Danio rerio: one gene and its partner. The protein of the gene in region 1 binds, or shares a complex with, the protein of each later gene. Links are inferred from orthologs where the notes say so. Each region holds a gene or a part of one and is shown on either strand. Other genes may lie near its edges. The genes, in order: stk3 and sav1.

Region 1 (10,881 bases):
TTTATTTATTGTGACATCAACAAGCTATCACTACTTAATGGCAAGATAAATACAGATTAGGGCTGCACGAAATTAGAAAAATGTAACATTGCGATATTTTGCATTCTGCAATATGGATTGTGATATGAATACAATTACACCAGGGGCCTTATGTTTGAAGACTTGCGTTAAATTCATACTAAAATATTGCGTATGCACAAAGCTGTAAATGTGCATACGCAGTAAAAATTCTGATGAATGAAACACTGTGTATGCCGAATCACACGCATATTCTCTTTGTACATCAGAATAAACGTGAAACGGAGCGCAATATGCACGAGCGCAAAAACCTCCCTGCCTCCTCCTCCGTATGAATATGCTAATGACTCTACTTTGACAAAACCAAATGAAGAAGCAATGGCAAAAGCAAGCAAAAAGAAAAACTATGAACAGAATGTGAATTGGTGGTGCGCCTATCGGAGGCAGACTGGAGAAAATCTGTGTTTTTTGCAAGTTGGTCCTCCGAAATTAATAAAAAGGGAAAAAAAAGAATGGGAGGGTTTAGCTGACACGGTAACGCAGCGGTGTCTCATTGGACACCTTGGAATGAGCTAAAAGAGTGATAGTTGAGCAGACTTCAGCAGTGCGAGTGACGTAGCTCATAAAGCGCATGGCAACATGTTTTGACACTATCATTCCTGAACCAGGTTCAAACCCAGTGTCTGATCAACTTATTTTTCTTTTTTTACCCATTACATATCAGATTTTGCCTACTCTTCATCACAAGGAAGTAGGAATCATTCATAAGTGTGTGTATTACGTTAAGCGCATTTGAGCATCACATATTATTTGCACATTTATTGAATGGAAATGTTTCTGATTCAGGTATGCAAATTTGTCTTCAGATGGCGCCTTTATAGCAATGTGCGTGCAGTAGATCGATCTGATTACATTGGGAAAACCGGTGATCGCTGCAAGTTGTGCTATAATGTTTGGCTGGTCAACTGTATGGTATGGTATGGAAACCTTATATACCTGCTAGACATGCGGATGATCCCGTCTCATACAGCTGCTATTGCACAGCTCAAAGGTGCTTTGTGGTGTGCAATTTAACATAATTGCCTCTCAGAGTCGCCAATGGAAATAAAACAAACACACACAAGAAATGCACGTACGCCAGGCATGAAAATAGCGTGGACCAACGCACATTCTCACGTTCATTTCATCTTTAGCAAATTTAGCAAACTTGAGCGTGAAACCTGGCGTACGCAAAGTTTTTGTGCATACGCAGAATTGATACATGAGGCCCCAGATGACTTGAATACCTCTTTGGAAAGAATTTATCATTTTGGATTGATTGGGATGATGCAGTAGGGCAGTGCATCTGTAAGTAATCTCCAAGCATAGATAAACGCAATAAAATACTGCATAGTCTTTGTTTTATAAATAATCCAAAAAAATGAATTGTTATTAAAGTTACAAATAGTGCAATTTCTTCGGCCTGAATACATTTGATATCCTCATCCAAAGCCTCAAAAACACATGCAAATGATAAATTATAATCCAAACTCAATGTTGCAGCTCCTGCGATGTGACAACTCCAAATGAGCACATTATGATATCAATGCTGAGACAATATATTGTTCAGCCCTAATAGAGATAAACATATATTACATATACATATATTACATTTATACATATATACATATATTAACTTCATAACTCACACATAAATTAATTCTACAATAAAAAGCTTTTCATTCATCATAGCACACGTGCTGCTGATGATGTGACAATAAAAGTGATTTGAAAACATTATATATGATTTTTCAATTTAATATATGATAAATAACAAAATTCTTCTTGGGGATACTTTTTTTTAAAAAAACATCCAAGTATCATGGTTTGATGGAAAGCATCCTCTCAAATAATAAATGAGTATCTGCACGAGTCACAAATAGGAACTATTGGTTGGTAATACTGCGGAGAATATAAAAATTGAACCTGTCACCATTTTTCTCAGAAAACATATTTCTAAAGGTGCCGTTGACTTCCCTAAATGTTTATAACAACTAAAGAAATACATATATGCAAAAAAAACATCTAATTAGTTTCAAATTTAGTTATGCAAAATAAAATTAAATGACGCAGGGAAAAAGTATTGAACACATGAAGAAAGGAAGGTGTAGAAAGGCAGTGAAAGCCCAGACAGCAGCTTAAATCTCAGTAGTTTTTCAGCAACCCTCTGCCCTTCCTCATTGTAAATTAATATTAGCTGCTTCAGTCCAACATTTACATTACCAGGATGATGAAGATAAAACCAAGGTGGACATTTCAGCAAGACAATGATCTAAAACACAGCCAAGGAAACCTTCAAATGCTTTCAGAGAAAGAAAATCTAGCTGTAGAATGGCCCAGCCAATCACCTGACTTGAATCCAATAGAAACCATCAAGATTTCTACACTCTGTTGAAAAAACTCACACCTGAGCAATTCATGCGACTTCAGTCTCCAAATGAGAGGCATCGCCAAAAAAGCCTTTTATACAAAGTGTGAAATACGTTTCAGTATTTCAGTACTTTCTCATTGTGTCATTTTATTGTAATTATACAACTAATTTTTCAGATTTTTTGTTTTTGTTTGTATTGTTTGGGTTTTTACCAAAATCTGGTTCAATTCCATGTCAATAGTTCCTTAGAAATATTATTCCCAGGAAAAAAACAGGACGTGTTTGATGCTTATTTCCCCGCTGTATGTGGTTCTTAGTTCTCATACCTGCAGCAGTTGAGTTGCCGTTGCTCTCTGTTCTGGGTTTTTCACCAGACATTTCTTCACAAAATCTGTGAAATCGTCACTCCAATGTTCTGGCTTGCGGAACGTGGGTGGAGGGTTTGTGGGAATCATAAAAATAGCCTAATGACAGAAAAAACAGATATAGTCACCATCATCCAGCATTTACTCAATGTTTTTAAGTCATAGACTCCTCTCAGTGTTCTCCACTCACTCTCATTGGATGTATGTCTGCATACGGAGGCTTTCCTTCAGCCATTTCTATGGATGTGATGCCGAGAGACCAGATATCTGCCACACAGTTGTACCCAATTTCTTGGATTACTTCGGGCGCCATCCAGAAGGGTGTTCCTATAACTGTGTTCCTCTTGGCCATTGTGTCCTTGTGTGGTTAATATAAACAAACAGGATTACAATGATTCATGAGACATATACAGAATTGGCTTGGAGACATTAAATAAATGACTGTCGATGAGAGAAAAAGTTTTGAGTTCCATCATGTAAGAGTCTGAGATACAGAATACAGAGATTTCTGAGATACAAAAAAAAAAAAAACACTGATGGAAAACTCCCATATTTCATTGGTTTACAAAAAAAAGTAACTGTGAAAGATGTAAAATAGTATATGTAACTGTAAAACTTTACCTTGAGAAAGTTTTTTTGATTTCAATAGCAAGCTTTTAGCTGAATTAAATTTATCCAATAAAATAAAAAAGAAAACAGAAAATATTCTTATGAACGCTTATGATTAAATGAATTTTATTAGCTCAGTAAACAATATATATAGTACTATGTTTTTTAGGAAAAAAAGTAAAATGATGTTTTAATGGATGTTCTGAACAAGCATTATCAAATGTTTTTTCTTCAAATAGATTTTTATTGAACGTTTTAGTGCAGTTTGACAAAGCTAAAATACAGAATTTAACCCAAAACTATAATTCACACATTTCCATGCATGTTAAATGATATTATATGAATGTTAAATTTCGGGATTCACCGATAAGGGTTTTTGGTGATATCGATAACCAATAACTAAAGATCTGGAGGCCGATAACCGATATATTAGCCGATAAATATAAATATCTCAAAATGTTATATTTTATACAGTGAACAACTGATTTCATTTTTTTTTTAAACTTTGTAAAAGTTTGAACTGATCTTAAGGCCGGCTTTCACTGTGCGATTGTTTTTTTATAATCCTAAATGATTGTAGCATGTCAGACTGCTCGAACATGGCTCCCATGCCACACTGTAAGATCTCAGCTGTCATAAAGTCAGACTGAACGACAATGAAAATGCACCAAACATGAAAGAAAATGCCCCCGGAGTTTGACGTCATCCACCCGTGACACTTTCACTATCCCACTATCCCCGCAATCTGTAGCTGCAATTTTGCACACGGCGTGTCTCAATAATAAAACCAGAATGAAAAAGACTCTTTGACATTTTCACATGGTCATTTGAATTGTTGCATAGATTGTGACATCAAATTCTGAGGTCCTATTGGTTCTCAGATTGCAGCTGTTGTCACAAAAAAAATCTGATCGCAACGGGCTTTAAGCATCTGTCACTGAACATGTCAAACCAACGATCAAAGATCACGAATTTCAAGAATCTTTTAGGATTTCCCATCGTCTCAGATGACAAAATTGTGGCTGAAATCTTAGTGTGAGCAGGGCTTTATGAACTGAATAGTCTATACTCAAAACAAAAAAGCAATAATTTCAAAATTGTAAGGTGATTATATAGACCAGGGATGTCCAAACTTGGTCCTGGAGAGCCGGTGTCCAGCTAAGTTTAGCTTAACTTGCTAAAACACACCTGCCAGGAAGTTTCTAGTATATCTAGTAAGAGCTTGATTAGCTGGTTCAGGTGTGTTTGATTTGGGTTGGAGCTAAACCCTAAAGGACACCAGCCCTCTAGGACCGAGTGTGGACAACCCTACTATAGGCCTAAATTTATGATTTCACATAAATAAGCATTCCAAAACTTAATGGTTTCCCTTTCATTGCTTAGAAAATTAACATCCAACTAGACCGTTGCATAAAAACAATAGGTTAAATAACAAAATCAAACCGAATACAATCTTACATCAACAACGAATGGCAAGCAACGCGTTGATAATAACAAATAATCATATTAGATTACAAACAACCCAACGAGTTGCTTAGCATGTGTGCATCGCTGCTATTATATTTACACATTTAATACTTTGCCTGAGGCGATTTAAACCAAAATACACAATGATACTCTATCAAACATATCTGATAAGGGATATGGTTACTTACAGAGTTATTTGCGCACAGCAATACCACACAAAGAAAGGATGGATGAATAAACAATGTGAGATAAGCTACGTTATAGTGCACTGGACACGTCTGAACAAGGTCGACCAACGCATGCGCAAGGCAGGCAGGTCTGTACAATTACGTAATCTGTCGGCTTTAAGATATTGGCCTAATTTTGATTTCGGACCAATAACAAAATAAAATTTATCAGCAATAAAGATATGGCCGCCGATATATTGTGCATCCCTAGTTAAATTACTTATATCAATGTATTTATTATAATATTATTTATTTTTTAACAAATAAAACCACATCAATCTATGCAATCTAGCAGGTAGGTTGAAAAACTCACGGTAAGTTGTCCAGCTACTCCGAAATCAGCTAGTTTAGCATGACCTTCAGTGTTGAGGAGAATATTCCCGGCTTTGATGTCCCTGTGGATTTTCCTCATAAAATGGAGATATTCCAGACCTTTCAGTGTGGATTTGAGGACCGTGGCAATCTCATCCTCAGTAAGCTAGTCAAGCAAATAAAAGTCTCTGTTATGAAGCTCTATTGATACATCAATATCTCTTAGATATAATAATCTAACTTAAATTACACTGATGATGCTATATAGTGCATTCATAGTATTTTTATTCACCGTTTTGTTGCGCAGTCTAATAATATCAGACACAGATCCAGCACCACAGTACTCCATCACAATCCACAGATCTGTGTTTTTGAAATAGCTGCCATAGTACTTCACCACATATGGGCTGTTAAAACACAATGAGGAATGAAAATGTTGTTACGTTCTTCACACACATCCAAATTTACATTAATAATAAATATATAAACTAAGTATGTTGTTTTACCTGTCACATTGCTGCATTATGGAGATCTCCTTGATGATCTCTTGCAGGTCTGATTCGACAGGAACCTGTTTAATGGCCACAACTTGGCCTGATTCCTTGTGAATGGCTTTAAAAACACTTCCATATGATCTGAAGCAAAGTGCATTTGAAATGTAGAAGTGTCAAACAAAACATAAGCATTCATATTCACTACCTATGTTGACAAATATTATGCTACCCACCCTTCTCCAAGCTTTTCAAGAACATCAAATACTTCCTCTGGCTGCTTGGTAAGACTGTCTTCACTGAGTTTCTTCAGCTTACTGTTGATCAAAACAGTCGAAACGTTACTTTATTAAATGCATAAAACATCATTGGATCCCACACTAGCAGTTATAACGTAAAACTAGAATCTACAATATAACAAAACTGCATGAAGTCAGACTGCGTTGAAGTATTGATCATGTAGTTATAAATACGAACATCTAAATATAAACCAAACGATCTTTTATAGTTCGGTCGGCGATCTGAAGTGTCAGTTTCGTTGCTCAGATGAGGCCTGTAAATATTAGCTTAGCTGTTAACTGGTTAGCCGAGATAGTGACTTACTTTTTGGGCACCGAATGCTCCATTCTTGTTATTCAGATAAAAATATAATTTGCGTAAAAATGTAAAAGTTGTTTGCTCAAACCCTAAGGGAAAAAGCAATAACGCATGTTTTGTTTGGAGTTTAAGGAAGCACTGCTATGTCTTTCCGTGCCGCTGCTAACAACGATGTGAAGCCAGCTGACGTGTGTAATTTTCCATGAAAAACGACTCGTCAAAGTAAAAGTCCTACAAACGTAATATTTTACAGTATGAGATACTACAATTTTCACTCGTTTGACGACGAGCTTGCAAGTTGCGTGTATCTTTGAACGGAGTTTGTTTGTTTTGTTTATTTTAAGAACTATAAAAAATACGAACAAACTATCTGAGAAATACTTGCATACATTCTCTCAGTTTTATCCTCTTAATATTATCTTCTTTTTTTATTGACAAGCAGACATCGGCCTGTATAAGATTCTGACGGTATGATAACCTTGGATGAAAATATTATGGTTACACGGTACCACTGCTCTAAAATATATTCTTTTTAAAGAGCCCATATTATGGGTTTTTGAAAATTCCCCTCCATGTATTGTGTAACACAGCTCTAAGTGAAGTGAAGTATCCAGCTAAGGCTTAAATCTGTTAGTGTACAGTGTTTAAAACGGTTGATTCATCTATAAAAGAGTCGACTCATAGTGCTTCAAACGAGTCGCCTTGATACCGATTCATTAGGTGTTTCGCCATGACGTACGAACGAAACCAAGTTATTCACGTGCACGCGCAAACCCGGGAGATTTCAAACCTGAGGCCCCGCCCTCTGACGCAGAAACCCAGACACACACACAAACACACACCCACAAACACACACACACACAAACATGCCGGTCGATTGAAGTCACACTGCAGATGGATATATTGAGTCTCTACCCAAACATAAAACCTCAGCATTATAACCAAGCAGTTGGAAACTACTGGAAACTTCTGGAAGCTACATGCTACAAAGAATACTTCATCAGCGTTTGTTAAAGGAAGGATCAGTAAAGAGTGACTTATTGATGGACGTCAGGATTTTTCTTCCTCCATTTCTCAAGTGTAAGTACGTGCGATTAAAGTTGCCTCGTTGACTCTAGCTTGCAAATGTATTTAGTTGTGATTTGTTACTTGTAACCGCGTGTACTGTATCAGGTTAACTGGCTATATTCTCTTATCGCGTGCAAAGTCACGTTAAAAACGCGACGCGTGCTGCGTTAACGGAGCTCCGTGGACGAGGAGTAGTGTGTGTGTCTGTGTGTGCGTGTGCTGTCGTCCGGAGGTGTGTGTGTGTGTTTGTGTGTGTGTGTGTGCGTGTGTGTGCGCGCGCGTTGTCGTTCGGAGCAGGGTTAAGTGCGTGTGTGTGTTTGTGCAATATGTGTGTGTGTGTGTGTCTGTGAAAAGAGCAGAGTGAGAAGCTAGGAGATCTCCTCAACTGCTTTTGGAGTTTTTGCTCAATAAAATAGTCAGTCGTTTGTATTTTCAAGTCCATAGTCTGTATTTACATTGACCCACTGGCAGCTAAACTCCACGCCTACACCATCGAGCGTGTATGAACTGTGATTACTTTTATATTGCTGATTAGCTGTTGTGCATTTTACTCTCTGACTGAAGGCAGTCGACCAATCGCGACAGACTGTCATTGGTCCAATCAGCGCAGATTAGCTTCGCGCTAAGGAGGGGTTTGGGAACAAATGAATCACTGGACGATTCATACAGGAGTCGCTGGGATAATTAGGTAAAAATAAATGCAGATTATAAGACCATGAAAGTGTTTTTTGACCTTGCATGCATATTAAACTGTTGTTGGAGACCCTTACAACCAAGATATGACCCTATTTCATGTATAATATGGGCTCTTTAAATGTCTGGGTAAAGGACAAAAACTTTTTTCCCTTTTGAACACAAAGTATTTTATTGTGAGTAACATTTAAAATATTTTGGAAAAGTAATCATTGGCTTCTGCTGTCTTCATTTGTTTAAAAAAAACTGATTTATTAAACATTTAAATGGCAAATATTCTGCATTGAGATATGTTGTTTAAAAAAAAAGTTAATAAAAAGTCTTACACATCCCTTAGGAACGGTTTTACAGAAAATTTAGCTGGTTTTAAAACCTGACTTTTCCAAACCGGGGTATACTTCGAAAACGGTTTTCGTCACATGTCTATCGACAAGTATAAACAACATAACACTAGGCATGGGGTGATAACTAAATTTGGAAAAGTCAAGGTTTTAAAACCACCAAAATTTCCTGTTACACCATTTCTAAGGTATATGTAAGACTTAAAAAAATGTTTGTTTTTTTCATGTTTTTGACAACTATTTTAAGAAAAAATTTTAGGGCAACGATATCTTCAGCAGAAAATGAACTTTTACAGCAAAAGCTAGTGGTCCAAAATACTTTAAATATTTCTCAAAATAAAATATATTGTGTTCAATGAGGGAAAAAGTTGTTTTTTACCCATACATTTATAACAAGAACTTATTTTGGAGCAGTAATCACAATACCGTGATACCGGGAAACCGAGAAACCATGGTGTTTTTTTATCCAAGGTTATCATACCGTCAGAATCTTATACCAGCCCATGTCTACAACACACTTACACTGAGTCTCTTCATTCAATTCATCTTTAAATATATAGAGCTTTTTGAAATGTAGATTGTGCCAAAACAGCGTAACATAAATAAGGGAAAGAGAATAAAAAGGCAATGTTTCAGACTGTAGAACATTCCAGCATATCAACAGACAGGTGAGTACTGAATGTGTAGTTCCAGTTAAATTAAAACTGATTCAGCTCAGTTATTAACACAAATGTCAGAAGGCGTGGACAGTTACAGAACTCCACCAACTGATGGAAATGCAGAACAAACTTTTGGATAAATCAGGCTTAGCCGAGGTGATTAGTTTTCCTCTGACCAAATGTAAAAGGGCAAAGCTGCAGTCTATGCGCATCTATTGTGGAGAGGGTGCAGGTCAATGTTCAGGTGTTCATACTAGCCGACGGGATCAATGCAGAGATTCGTCTGCCACTGGAAGAACCTTGCACTCTTGACTCATCAATGACCACAACAACCATCTGCTCCAAATACAGCCTGGATCCATGATTATGTGAACCTTGGGATAAGAAGAAACAGACAGACATGAGCATGAATATGTCTTTTAGGGAAGTATTTCCAGCGCCACTTGGCCTAATGAATGCAGCCTAACAATCCTTTTAGAAGATTAGGATTTTAAATGAATGCCTTCATATTTTCTAGTGCAAAGAGTCTTAGTAGTCTAGATTTAAACGGAAAGGATTATGCACAAAACATACTGTATTCATTTGAGCACAGATGATGCAGTTCTTGCATCAGCCAGCAGAGGGAGGACAGTGTGGATAATATTGTGTCCCTCGTGGCCCCAGGCTGTTGTCAGGACTGCAAGAAACCAGCCAATCTCTGGCAAGGTCCTGCATGGGGTCGAAGCGCTGCCTAGCAACTGATTATTGGGTTATGGGCTCTTTCACCCCATTATATCGGCATCAGGGGGACAGTGAGGAGAAACAACGGTTGAGTTTGTGTTTTTATCTATCTGTCCATTCATCCATCCATCCGTCCGTTCGACTGTGCCTGTCTATCTATCTATCTATCTATCTATCTATCTATCTATCTATCTATCTATCTATCTATCTATCTATCTATCTATCTATCTATCTATCTATCTATCTGGGCTGCTTTCTACAGGACAAACTGTATGTGGACTGGGAAGGACAGCTGTCAGGGAAACCCATTACTCATTGGCTGATCCTATCAGAATATGTAATATTGCGTTCTGTTGACTGAGAGCACATGCGGATTTCCGATAGCATGATACAGAGGAAAGGGGAGGAGGACAGTATGTGCATGAGCGAGGGATAAATGTGGAGGGAAAGAGAGTGAGAGAGAGAGAAGGGGTTAGATATCATCCGCGTCACAGCAGCAGATTGCAGGCAGAGCAGAGAGGATATAGACAACCAGAGCACTCAGTCATTAGACGCTGAAGCAGGAATACGGCATTGGGGAAATACACCGAGTGTGTGTGCATGAGAGCAGAGCTAACAGTACAGCGTGAAGCAGCTCTGGATCACAGTGTGCCATTGATGATAAGAGTAGGGAAGAATGAGTCTTGACCCTGTTCAGGTCATGAAGGGGCAAGAGCCTATGCCCAACACTTGCCCATCGGCCTCAAACGGGGATACCAAAGCATCCTGGGAGGACAGCAACAAGGATATGCTTGAAAATGTTGGTTCCAAGAAGCCCAAATCAGTAAGTGATGTTCTCCATCAGTTTGCATTTCATCTGTGATGCCATTTTCCTATTGCCCTTGTCCTTTTTATTGGCAATTTC
Region 2 (10,240 bases), on another chromosome or scaffold:
AGAGTCACATGATGAGGAAAATCAGACCCCGAAGAGAGTCTGCAAACATCCAGGCTGACCTGCAGTAAAACAACGAGTCACAGTATTAGTTCTGCCGCTCATCTTCTCACTGTAAATACGGTTTCTCTCTTTGACACTCACATGAAAGCAGTCTGTTCTTCTTTTGTAATGGATGTTGTTCGTTGAGTTCAGTGCTATTTATAAGGGAATAAAATACTACATGTTTAAAACACAAGCTGTCGTCGAGATCATTCTGAATGATAATCAAATAACTATTATTCAACAACAGGCACTCTCAGGATGAGTGCTCTAGAAAGAGGACAAAGTGTTTCCTCTGAAGTTATTCTGAAATGATAAGTGGGATTATAGGGCTGCACAATACATCGGGTCCAGCATATCGCAATGTGCGCATTCACAATAGTCACCGCAGGATATGTATTTTTTAAAGGAACACTCCACTTTTTCGGAAATAGCCTCATTTTACTAGTCCCCAGATGTAAACAGTTGAGTTTTACCATTTTTGAATCCATTCAGCTGATCTTCAGGTCTGGCGAAAGCACATTTAGCTTAGCTCAGCATAAATCATTGAATCGCATTAGACCATTAGCATCTTGTTCAAAAATACAGATGATTTAGATAACTTTACTATTTAAAGCTCGACTCTTCTATAGTTACATTGCATCCTAAGACGGACACAGCTCATGATTATAGTTGTCCATGAGCTGCAGTAGAGAAGACATGAGATTTGTGTAGTTACTGCAGAGTTTAACGGAGTGAACGTTTATCATCAGCATGTGTTTTAAGGCCTAAGTGAGTTGAAATCATTCAGATATTTTACCATTTTTGTTAAATTATTTATACAGTAAAGAATCTGCAGTGTAAATTTAACATTTGATTATTACATTCCTGTATCTAAAAACTATTTGACTACCCTGAAATCCGTAAATCACTGTTTATTTCACTTTCATCTTTTCTATAAAGTATTTGTCTGTGCTTGTAATTTGTTTATTATATTTTAAGCATGATTCACAGCCCTACAAAATCAACCCAATTAATCAAACCTAATAAATTCTGTCCAAAATGAGATATTCACTTCATCTGGTGAAATTGTATTTCATATATTTAACTACAAAAACAAAATGTAATATTGCAATGTCAAATTTTTCTAATATTGTGCAGCTCTAAGTACACTTACAAGTACATCAACACATGTGTACACACGCACGCACGCACACACGCACGCATTTTGGGAAATAGGCTCATTATACAAGTCCTCTAGATTTAAACAGTTGAGTTTTACCATTTTTGAATCCACTCAGCTGATCTCCAGGTCAGACGGGACCACATTTATCTTAGCTTAGCATAAATCATTGAATCGGATTAGACCATTAGCATCTCGTTAAAAAATAACAGATAATTTACATAAATTTACTATTTAAAATTTGACTCTTCTGTAGTTATATTAGCTATGCTTCTATCCAAAAATTCAAATTACTTTATGCGCAAAACTAGATTATCGTATAAAAGACGTGCAAATAAAGCAGCGTTTTCATCCAACGAGTCAAATCGAACAAAATCGTCATTTTCTGATTATCTGGTGGCAAAAATCAACAGTAAAAACAGAATTTGCTGTGACAAGAAAAGCTGAGTGAATCTTTATTTAATAAATGACTTGTGCCTAAAACCAGGCTTAGACGCGGAGCACAGACGCTCTTGATTCTGGAGGTCATTAATAATATATTAACACTTATACTGAAACGACTCAGGCATTTTAGAATGACCAAAACAACATTTCAGATGTTTTACAGTGTGCTCAGCCTGCTGGTTTGTCCATTCACACACATTTTTATCATCACATGATTTTTTATAACAATCGCATGACCCTTTTTAATTTGCATACTGGAATTTGTTCGGTAAAAGTGTATCCATCTTAGTGTACGTGCACCTTTTCCTATTGAATAAAAATGTATCCTACTCAATTGTGCATTTTCAAAGTTTCTGCACATCTTGGTGTTTCCATCAACTTTTTTTTTTTTTATGTGCATATCCAAAATAGGTGGATGGAAACAGCTATTGTGTCCCAAGACTGACAGAAATGGCTAGAAACAATACTCTCATTTGGAAAATGTATGTATTTGAATTAATTTGATTACATTTGATACATTTAAGTATTTACATTTTTTATTTAATCAGATTTAAAGCTTTATGCAAAGCTAAGCTAAAAGGGTCTCCGTCAGAACTGGCTGAATAGATTCAAAATTGAAATCTCTAAGGGAGTCATAAAATGAGCCTATTTTGGTGAAAGGAAAGAGTTTCTTAAATAAGTTCATACCTTTGCTAACATTTATAATCATAAAAAAAGGCCCATAGACCTAGTGGTTAAGTGCGCAGACATAGACCATTTTGAGAGATGTACTGTAAACAATAACAATGGTCCTGACGTATTTCCTGTTTTACATTTTAAATTTCTATTGCTTTTGAGAATCCAATAAGAGCTACATTTTGACAAATAAAGTTACGATAGCTATTATAACATCAAGTTGTGATGATTGACTCCCCTCTTGTTACAGTTAGAAATAGTTTGACAACAAGAAGGAAATGTTCATGAGGCAATGACATCACCACTTTGAAATGGTCTATAACACCATGGTGCTCACGGCAACCCGAGTTCGATTCCAAGCTCCAGGTCTTTTGCCGACCCTTCCACCTCTCTCTACTCCCAATACTTTCCTGTCTGTAACCTCCACCATCCTTTCCAATTAAAGGTCAAAAACCCCTAAAAACAACTTTAAAATAATAATAATAATAATAATAATAAAGTAAGTAAATATAAAGAATTTATTCAAAATTATTATGCAGAAAACTGAGAAATATGGAAAACATTCTCACCCACACACACACACACACACAATACAAGGTCCTGGTTTATTTAGTGATGATGCTGAAAATACTTTTTACACACATTTTTAACTGGGGAAAAAACAAGCACTAACCTCTTTAAAAACGCCTTCACTTCATTCAAAGTGACGATTCAGCCTCAAAATGTTATCCTTAAATATAAGAAGCTAATTCCTTAAAAAAAGGAATCCACACAAACAATCAAGGACGAACTTACAAAAATGTCCAGGTCATATTTTACTTCAAGAAAATAAAGCACCATGAAGATTGCTCAACATTCAGAATACTAAAGCAACTTTAATTACTATGATTAAAAAAAAAATAGTGACTTTTATTATTTATTATTTGTTAATTAAATGCTAAACAATCCAAACCAGGCTTCATTTTCTTTCCATGAACTATAAATTCGGCCTGAAATGTGACCTGGATGCATTTTTGTGTGTTCGCCCTAAAAGCGAAACTATCATTGCAAATAGGATTAAACATAAATCAGTGATAACTGATAGAAGTGATTGTCCATAAAGACAATGCCATAAAGAATGACTGAGTCCTGCCATAACCCACAGCTGCCTGCAGGCCAACATATGCACAAAGACACACACGCACACACACACTTCCAACACACAGTCAAAACTCGTAACACACTGCCGTATAATAATAGAAGAGTAATAGTGTCACGTTCTGTGTAGAGTCTCTCTTTGGGCTTTATATTTGGAGTCGGATGTGAGAGTGTAAGGCACTGATAAGTAAGCTGTCTGAGTGTGTCATAACAAACAGTCAGATGTTTGGAGGGTAGTTTTTGGCTGGTTGCTGAGCGTACCACTGCTGCCGCTGTTTGCGCGTGTCCAGTTCGGTCAGCAGCGCTTGTCGATATGCTTCATAAGATTTGACGATGCACTCCAGCTCCTTCATGAAGAGCAGCTTCAGCATCCCCTGATATGTGTCCAGATCCATCAGCTGGAAGAGCTCCCACTTCAGGATGTGGTCATATCTGGGACGGAAAAACACATACATACACACGACTAATGAATCAGGACTCTACCAGACTTATGGGTTGCAAGAAACAGTCAATGAAAAACAATGAATATTATATTTTATTACTATATTATATTTTATCATATTATATATAATATTTGATTAATAAAAAAGGTTTTAGTTTGATGGTTTTTCTTTTATTTATGATGTAATTACATAAAAAAAGTATATACTTAATTTTTCCTAGGCCAGCCGAGAGACATAGGGCGTACTCAAACTATGCCATCCAAACCATGCTCAGGCCTGTTTCCCGGATTGTTTGAGAAGTGCGAGTGCTCTGAATCGGGCTCAGGCGCAGTTCAGTTGGCCGAACCAGGCCCAGTTGGAAGAGGTGTTCGATTCACTTGGGCTCGCCTGAGCCCGAAACTGAAGACGAGACGTTTCTTTAAAGGGACAGTTGGATATGGGTTTATTAATCATTCATACTGTTCAATGAATGCAAACTGTCGTAGATTATTAAAAACGCAAACCCCTCACTGCACGACAGCTGCACCATCAGCAAACCTCCTAATTCCTGTAGCTTGAGGACATTATGATTGTTTATGAGCGTCAAAAATGGCTGATCTCTTCAGTGAAATATTTCACTGAGGGTCGCTGCATCCCAAACGACTAAAACGATATAAAGAAATGTCCACCGTGCTGAGCGAGAACGCTTCTCACAGCGCATCATCAATGACGTAAGCGTGCTTAGTCGCGAATGCAATGAGAGTGCAGGCCGTTGAGGGAGACAGGAGGATGGACAAGCGTGCTTCAGCCTGGTTCGATGCGAGTAGTGCGAGTACGCCCATAGTCCCACCAGCCTGTCTTGGGTCTTCCCTGAGGCCTCCTTGAACCTTTGAACATTAGATACGATAGCAAATCATTCCAATTTTGTAAAGGTTTCGAGCCGCTTTCTAGTTACAGTTTTCTTGTTGGACGCTAGAAGTATTTTTAATAAATACTTGTCTTATATCATTAAAGTTGGCTGCTACAGGTATATTTTCCAAGTAAATTGTTGTAAAAGAGATGTCCATTCCATCACTAAAATATTTTGTATTACCTAACTACAAGTCACACGTTTGCACTACATTGAAAATGATTGGAAGCTGCGCTAGAGATGCACTAAGACAGCATATTTTCCATAAGAATAAATTAATATTTCAATAAAATTATTTATTTACAGAAGATGCAAGAAATTGACTGTTTAGAATATTATTTACAGGATCTACAGGTGTATTTTATTTAGAAGAGATGCAGCTTATTTTTGACTTACAATATGAAAAACATCGAAAACGATTAATTTTGTTTCCAAACATTATTTATTTTCCCTTTTTATAGGAAAAAAGTGACTTGGTTTTAGACAATGTGTGTTTTCATTCAGTTGTTTATTGTTAATGTTCAATAAATAATCATAGATTGTAGATAATGTGTGTTTCCTTCAATTATTTTAAAATCAAGTAATGCACTCTTCATTTAACAATCTGTCACTTGTGATATGTGAGCTTATTTACTAAACAAAACCTCTCAGTGAATTATGTGGCAAAAAATGAAATAAAATAAAATCAAACAAAAAAATTGTTCATTAATCAGAATAGAGTTAAAATTTTAATCTAGTTTTTGATTTTAGGCCAAATCGCCCAGCCCTACTTGACATCTCCAAAATATGTGAAAATGGTTTGCTAAGTCTTCTCCACATCTCCTTCAGCACTTTCCCAGATCCTTCTTCTGAGTTTGCATTCATGCAAACTGGGGATTTATAAAGTATGTAGTCAGATTCCTCCAGCAAAAAACTCACCACATACCAGAGCTGAAAAAAGTGGCATGAACAGAGCAGATATTTAAGCAACATAATTACTAGAATTGAACTAAAATAATCGACATGTCTATTTCTTAAACACTGTTAAATATACTGTTGTCAACTAAAATTCATTTATTCATTCATAAATATATTTTCAGCTTAGTTCCTTTATTAATCTGGGGTCGCCACAGCGGAACGAACCTACAACTTATTCATCACATTTTTACGCAGTAGATGCCCTTCCAGCTGCAATCCATCACTGGGAAAGTCAACTAAAATGGACTCAAAATATTGTCATTGAATTGAAATAAACCAGACAAAAAGAAAAAGCTAATTTAACACAATCACTTCTGTAACAGTATATAAACAATATAATTGTAGTTAAATATAAACCGTGTTAAAAATATGTCTAGAAGAGTAGAGCTGTAAAAAGTAAAAGTGCTGATATACATAGTTGCCCACCTGTTACCACACGTTAGCTGAATTCCATATTAATGCAACAAGCTGCAATGTTGTTCAGCAACCATAAACAATCTACAGTTACATCATGCCTACACTGATCACATGTCACTTCCTAACTAAAACACTACAAATTAAAACTAAGGCCTTTACAATAAATGACTGGATGGTACATTATGTCAGATTAAAGTCCATCTAAAATCGAAATGAGTTTTTTGGGTGTTAGTATTAATATTTTAGTTTTAAGGTCATCTATAAGCTAGTATGCGTTTAAAACAAAGACAGCATCTTTTTTAGAAGATATAAGCATTCAAAACATGCATGTTCTCAGTTCCGAACAATTTTCCATGACAGAGCACTTTAGCTTCTCATCAGACTGTCTGACCAATCGAAATGCTCTTTAGTATCTCAAATGGCACATAGTGCTACTAAACAAGGGACGAACAATTTAAGCAATGTAAATAAGATTTCAGAGACACAAGAACATAACTGGATCATATACACTAGTCATTTAAATTATTCTTTTTTTTTTTTAGGTAAATTACCTAGACAAGACCAGCATTACTATTATAAGCTTCCATCCACATATGGAATATCGCAAAAAAAAAAAGAGTAGGATAAACTTATCCATAGATAAACTACAATGTAATCACATTTGCCAAATAAATTCCAGAATACACAGCAAAAAAAAAAGTCTTGTGATTTTGTATTAACAGATCACGAAACAAAAATAGGTATGATGGGGTAGCACTAACGGGCCAATCTATCACATTGTTAAATATTTAAACTGTTGTTTTGGTCATTCCTTATTCTCCATGGCACAGTGGTTTGATATTATTACTTGCCAAAATTTTCTTAAGCCCCTGTGCTCCCAAAGAGCAATCTCACACCACCAAAAGCCACCACACGCTAAATGAGTTTCCACAATGAGAATCATTGTGTTAGAGTTAAAATCGCATCACACGCTAAACAAAACTGCATTTCAAGGCACTTGAGGGGACCTTTAATGTTGGACAATCTGTGTGAGAGTGTGAAACTTACTTTAGTGGAGCTCTGGCGTACACCTGTAGCCAGTCTGGAATCTCAGCTGAGTGATACGGGTTTGCTGGTACCAGTACAGGCGGGTTGCGTTCTGGTGGGCGGGGCTGGTAGGTGACGGGTGGGGGAGGGGGCTGGTCATAACGAGGCACACTAAAACAAAGAGAGTTGGCATATTTTAAAAACAAAATGGCATCAAACAGTCTAGATAATCAGTAATATATTATCATAATGAACATACACATATCATATACAGTTCAAGTCAAAATTGTTTGTCCTCCTGTGATTTTTTTTTCCCCTTTTTTAAAAAATATTTCCCGAATTATGTTTAACAGAGCAAGGAAGTTTTCACAGTATTTCCTTTAACATTTTTTTCTTATTTGTTTTATTTCAGCTAGAATAAAAGCATATAAAAGTGTATATATTTTTTAAGGTCAATATTTATAGTCCCCTTTAAGCAATATATTTTTTCTATTATCCACAGAACAAACCATTATTATACAATGATTTGCCTAATTACCCTAACTAGCCTAAATAACCATTTAAATTGCACTTTAAGCTGATATCTAGTACCTTAAAAAAATCTAGTAAGATATTATTTACTGTCATCATGGCGAAGACAAAATAAATTATTAGAAATTAATTATTAAAACTATTATGTTTAGAAATGTGTGGGAAAAAAAATCTTTTCTTTAAACAGAAATTGGGGAAAAGTATACATGAGGGCTGTATATCATTATAGCGTATGTTTAAATGACACTAACCTGGGTGCACAGGGGTGTCTGTACTGGGCACGTTTGTTGATGTGGTCAACATAATAGACTCCAAACTCGGCCGACTCCACCCTCTCCCAGCCTGGCGGAAGCCCCTCCCTCTCCAGCGGATGGCTCCAATGAGTCGTGTTTGTGTTGTGATCGATGAAATACTTCCTTCCTCGTATCGTCCAATCTACAGTCCAGCCAGGAGGAAGAGCCGCCTCCTCCCCGCTCATGGTCGTCAGATTACCCACTGACTTTGCTGGCACTCGGCCAATTGCTAGAAAGAAAAAAAAACCCACACATTCAGGAAAGTATTACAAATATGTGTGGAAAATGCTTCTAGAATGAGCTATTATAAGTTTGAATGAAAAAGGAGGTGGAGTGAAATGAAAGAGAGACGAAGAGCAAACAGCAAGTCGCAGCTGCAGATATTAAGCTAAAACCCCCAGTAGACTTTCAAAAGTTCAGCACAAAGAAAAAAACACATACGCACACACACACACACACACACATCATCACAGGGTGAAGGAAAGGGCAAACAACAAATGTACATTTCTCTCAGTCTCACAGATCATGAGAAACTGCAACAGAATAACAGTGGAGAAAATGTGTGTGTAATGTATATTGTAGGACAAGAAAAAAAATGAGATTTTCTGGTCATAAAAAAAAAAAAAAATTAGCAATCATTTCAACCTACCTCTTATTTTAGACTTTAGCAAGGCTTTAAATTTTGTAAGATTGTTGAATTTTCTATTAGCCGATTTTTAACATTTCTATTAGAACATTTTTGAGTGATGCAAATAAGTTTTTTGTATTTCTACATCCCATAATTATTCATTCATTTTCTTTCCGGCTTAGTCCCTTTATTAATCTGGGGTCGCCACAGCGGAATGAACCACCAACTTATCCAGCATATGTTTTACGCAGCCGATGCCCTTCCAGCCACAACCTATTACTAGGAAACACCCATACACTCCTATTCATACACTATGGACAATTTAGCTTACCCAATTCACCTATAGCGCATGTCTTTGGACTTGTGGGGGAAACCAGAGTACCTGGAGAAAACCCACGCAAACAAAGGGAGAACAAGTCCACACAAAAATGCCACGACAATCATGCCAACCACTGCACCACTGTGACACCCTAACATAATATATGCAGGTAAATATTGTTTTTTCTTTTAATTTTGATTAAACTTTACATGATTTCAAATTATATTTATTAAAATATTTTTGATCTAATTTATTAACCAGTAAGCTTTCTCTCACAGTCTCATGTTCAAACAAAGAATAAAGATTTAATATTATTAAGTATAGAGTATGACTATTAGGTGTATATATGACCTTACACAAATTGTGAAGATTTTGTTAAAAGAAAAGCAGACATCATTGGCAGGCATGCACGCATCCTCTCATTAGTAAACAAACAGTGCGTCAGCTCATGTGCGATTTCGCAGCCACAAATTTGTCATTACAAGATGACAAATGACATTTTTGGGTGAAATATACCTTATAAATACTGTATGTGACAATTTTAACACCATTTGGAGGTGTCAATGTTGCTGAGCAATGTATATACAACAATGTGAAGACTTGTGCGACCACTTTTATACTTCTGTCCTGACCATGAAAATATGATTGGCTAAATTGTAAAAAAGCTTAATTAAGATCGGGTGTAGGGTCGAATAAAGATCTATCAATAGAGAGCTATCTTTTTTGGTTAATTGTGCAGCTCTAACTCCTATTGTATTTGTTCCCCCAATTTGTTGCTGACATTCTCTCAAATATCTTCCTTTATGTGGATTCTTGCACTGGCAAACCATTTTGGCTTTATAAGACATCAACGTATTGTCAGAAGCCACAGTTATTATTTTGTTGAACCTGTATATGGTTTGTTTGACTCCCAAAATGCTGGTAGCCACTGAATTGCATTTTATGAATTACTAAAAGCACAAATGTTTCAAAAACAAATCTTCATTAACATTTTCCTGAAGAAAAGAAGTAATCTGATCAAATGTCATCTTATTATGTTATTTAAAAAAAAACAAGAGAATGCAATATATTTAACAGAAACAATCTCTAAACTTTTACATTCAGTTGAAGTCAGAATTATTAGCCCCTCTTTGAATTTTCTTTACTTTTTAAATATTTTCCAAATTATGTTTAACAGAGCAAGGACATTTTGAAAATATGTTTGATAATATTTTTTCTTCTGGAGGAAGTCTTATTTGCTTTATTTCGGCAAGAATAAAAGCAGTTTTTAATTTTTAAAA

Evidence for each region.
Region 2: the proteins of stk3 (region 1) and sav1 are in contact, whole or in part, in a crystal structure (PDB 6AO5), measured with the Homo sapiens proteins. The link is inferred for Danio rerio from reciprocal best matches to the Homo sapiens genes STK3 and SAV1. Residues at the interface, in NP_006272.2 of Homo sapiens: Trp429, Lys430, Val431, Pro432, Gln433, Gly435, Phe437, Phe439, Leu440, Lys441, Asn442, Leu443, Ser444, Leu445, Leu448, Gln449, Arg451, Leu452, Leu455, Asp456, Met458, Met459, Glu462, Ile463, Leu466, Arg467, Arg469, Tyr470, Ala472, Lys473; in NP_068590.1 of Homo sapiens: Tyr311, Ala312, Arg313, Ala314, Pro315, Asp319, Trp324, Glu325, Phe327, Gln328, Leu329, Leu332, Asp333, Gln336, Leu339, Lys340, Leu342, Phe343, Glu346, Leu347, Ile350, Val351, Met353, Tyr354, Ala356, Tyr357, Arg358, Ala360, Leu361, Leu362.

The regions. Positions count from the first base shown.
Region 1 is NC_133194.1:35,269,818-35,280,698, reverse strand, and holds the start of stk3 (serine/threonine-protein kinase 3), read right to left. Parts: upstream 6,642-10,881; 5' UTR 6,526-6,641; coding exon 6,503-6,525; intron 6,217-6,502; coding exon 6,136-6,216; intron 6,044-6,135; coding exon 5,915-6,043; intron 5,816-5,914; coding exon 5,701-5,815; intron 5,575-5,700; coding exon 5,410-5,574; intron 3,152-5,409; coding exon 2,984-3,151; intron 2,893-2,983; coding exon 2,755-2,892; intron 1-2,754. Other genes in the region: nt5c1aa (5'-nucleotidase, cytosolic IAa), read left to right, coding at 10,654-10,800. UniProt on the Homo sapiens protein: Stress-activated, pro-apoptotic kinase which, following caspase-cleavage, enters the nucleus and induces chromatin condensation followed by internucleosomal DNA fragmentation.
Region 2 is NC_133188.1:40,250,388-40,260,627, forward strand, and holds the end of sav1 (protein salvador homolog 1), read right to left. Parts: intron 8,243-10,240; coding exon 7,972-8,242; intron 7,361-7,971; coding exon 7,211-7,360; intron 3,890-7,210; coding exon 3,676-3,889; 3' UTR 2,912-3,675; downstream 1-2,911. UniProt on the Homo sapiens protein: Regulator of STK3/MST2 and STK4/MST1 in the Hippo signaling pathway which plays a pivotal role in organ size control and tumor suppression by restricting proliferation and promoting apoptosis.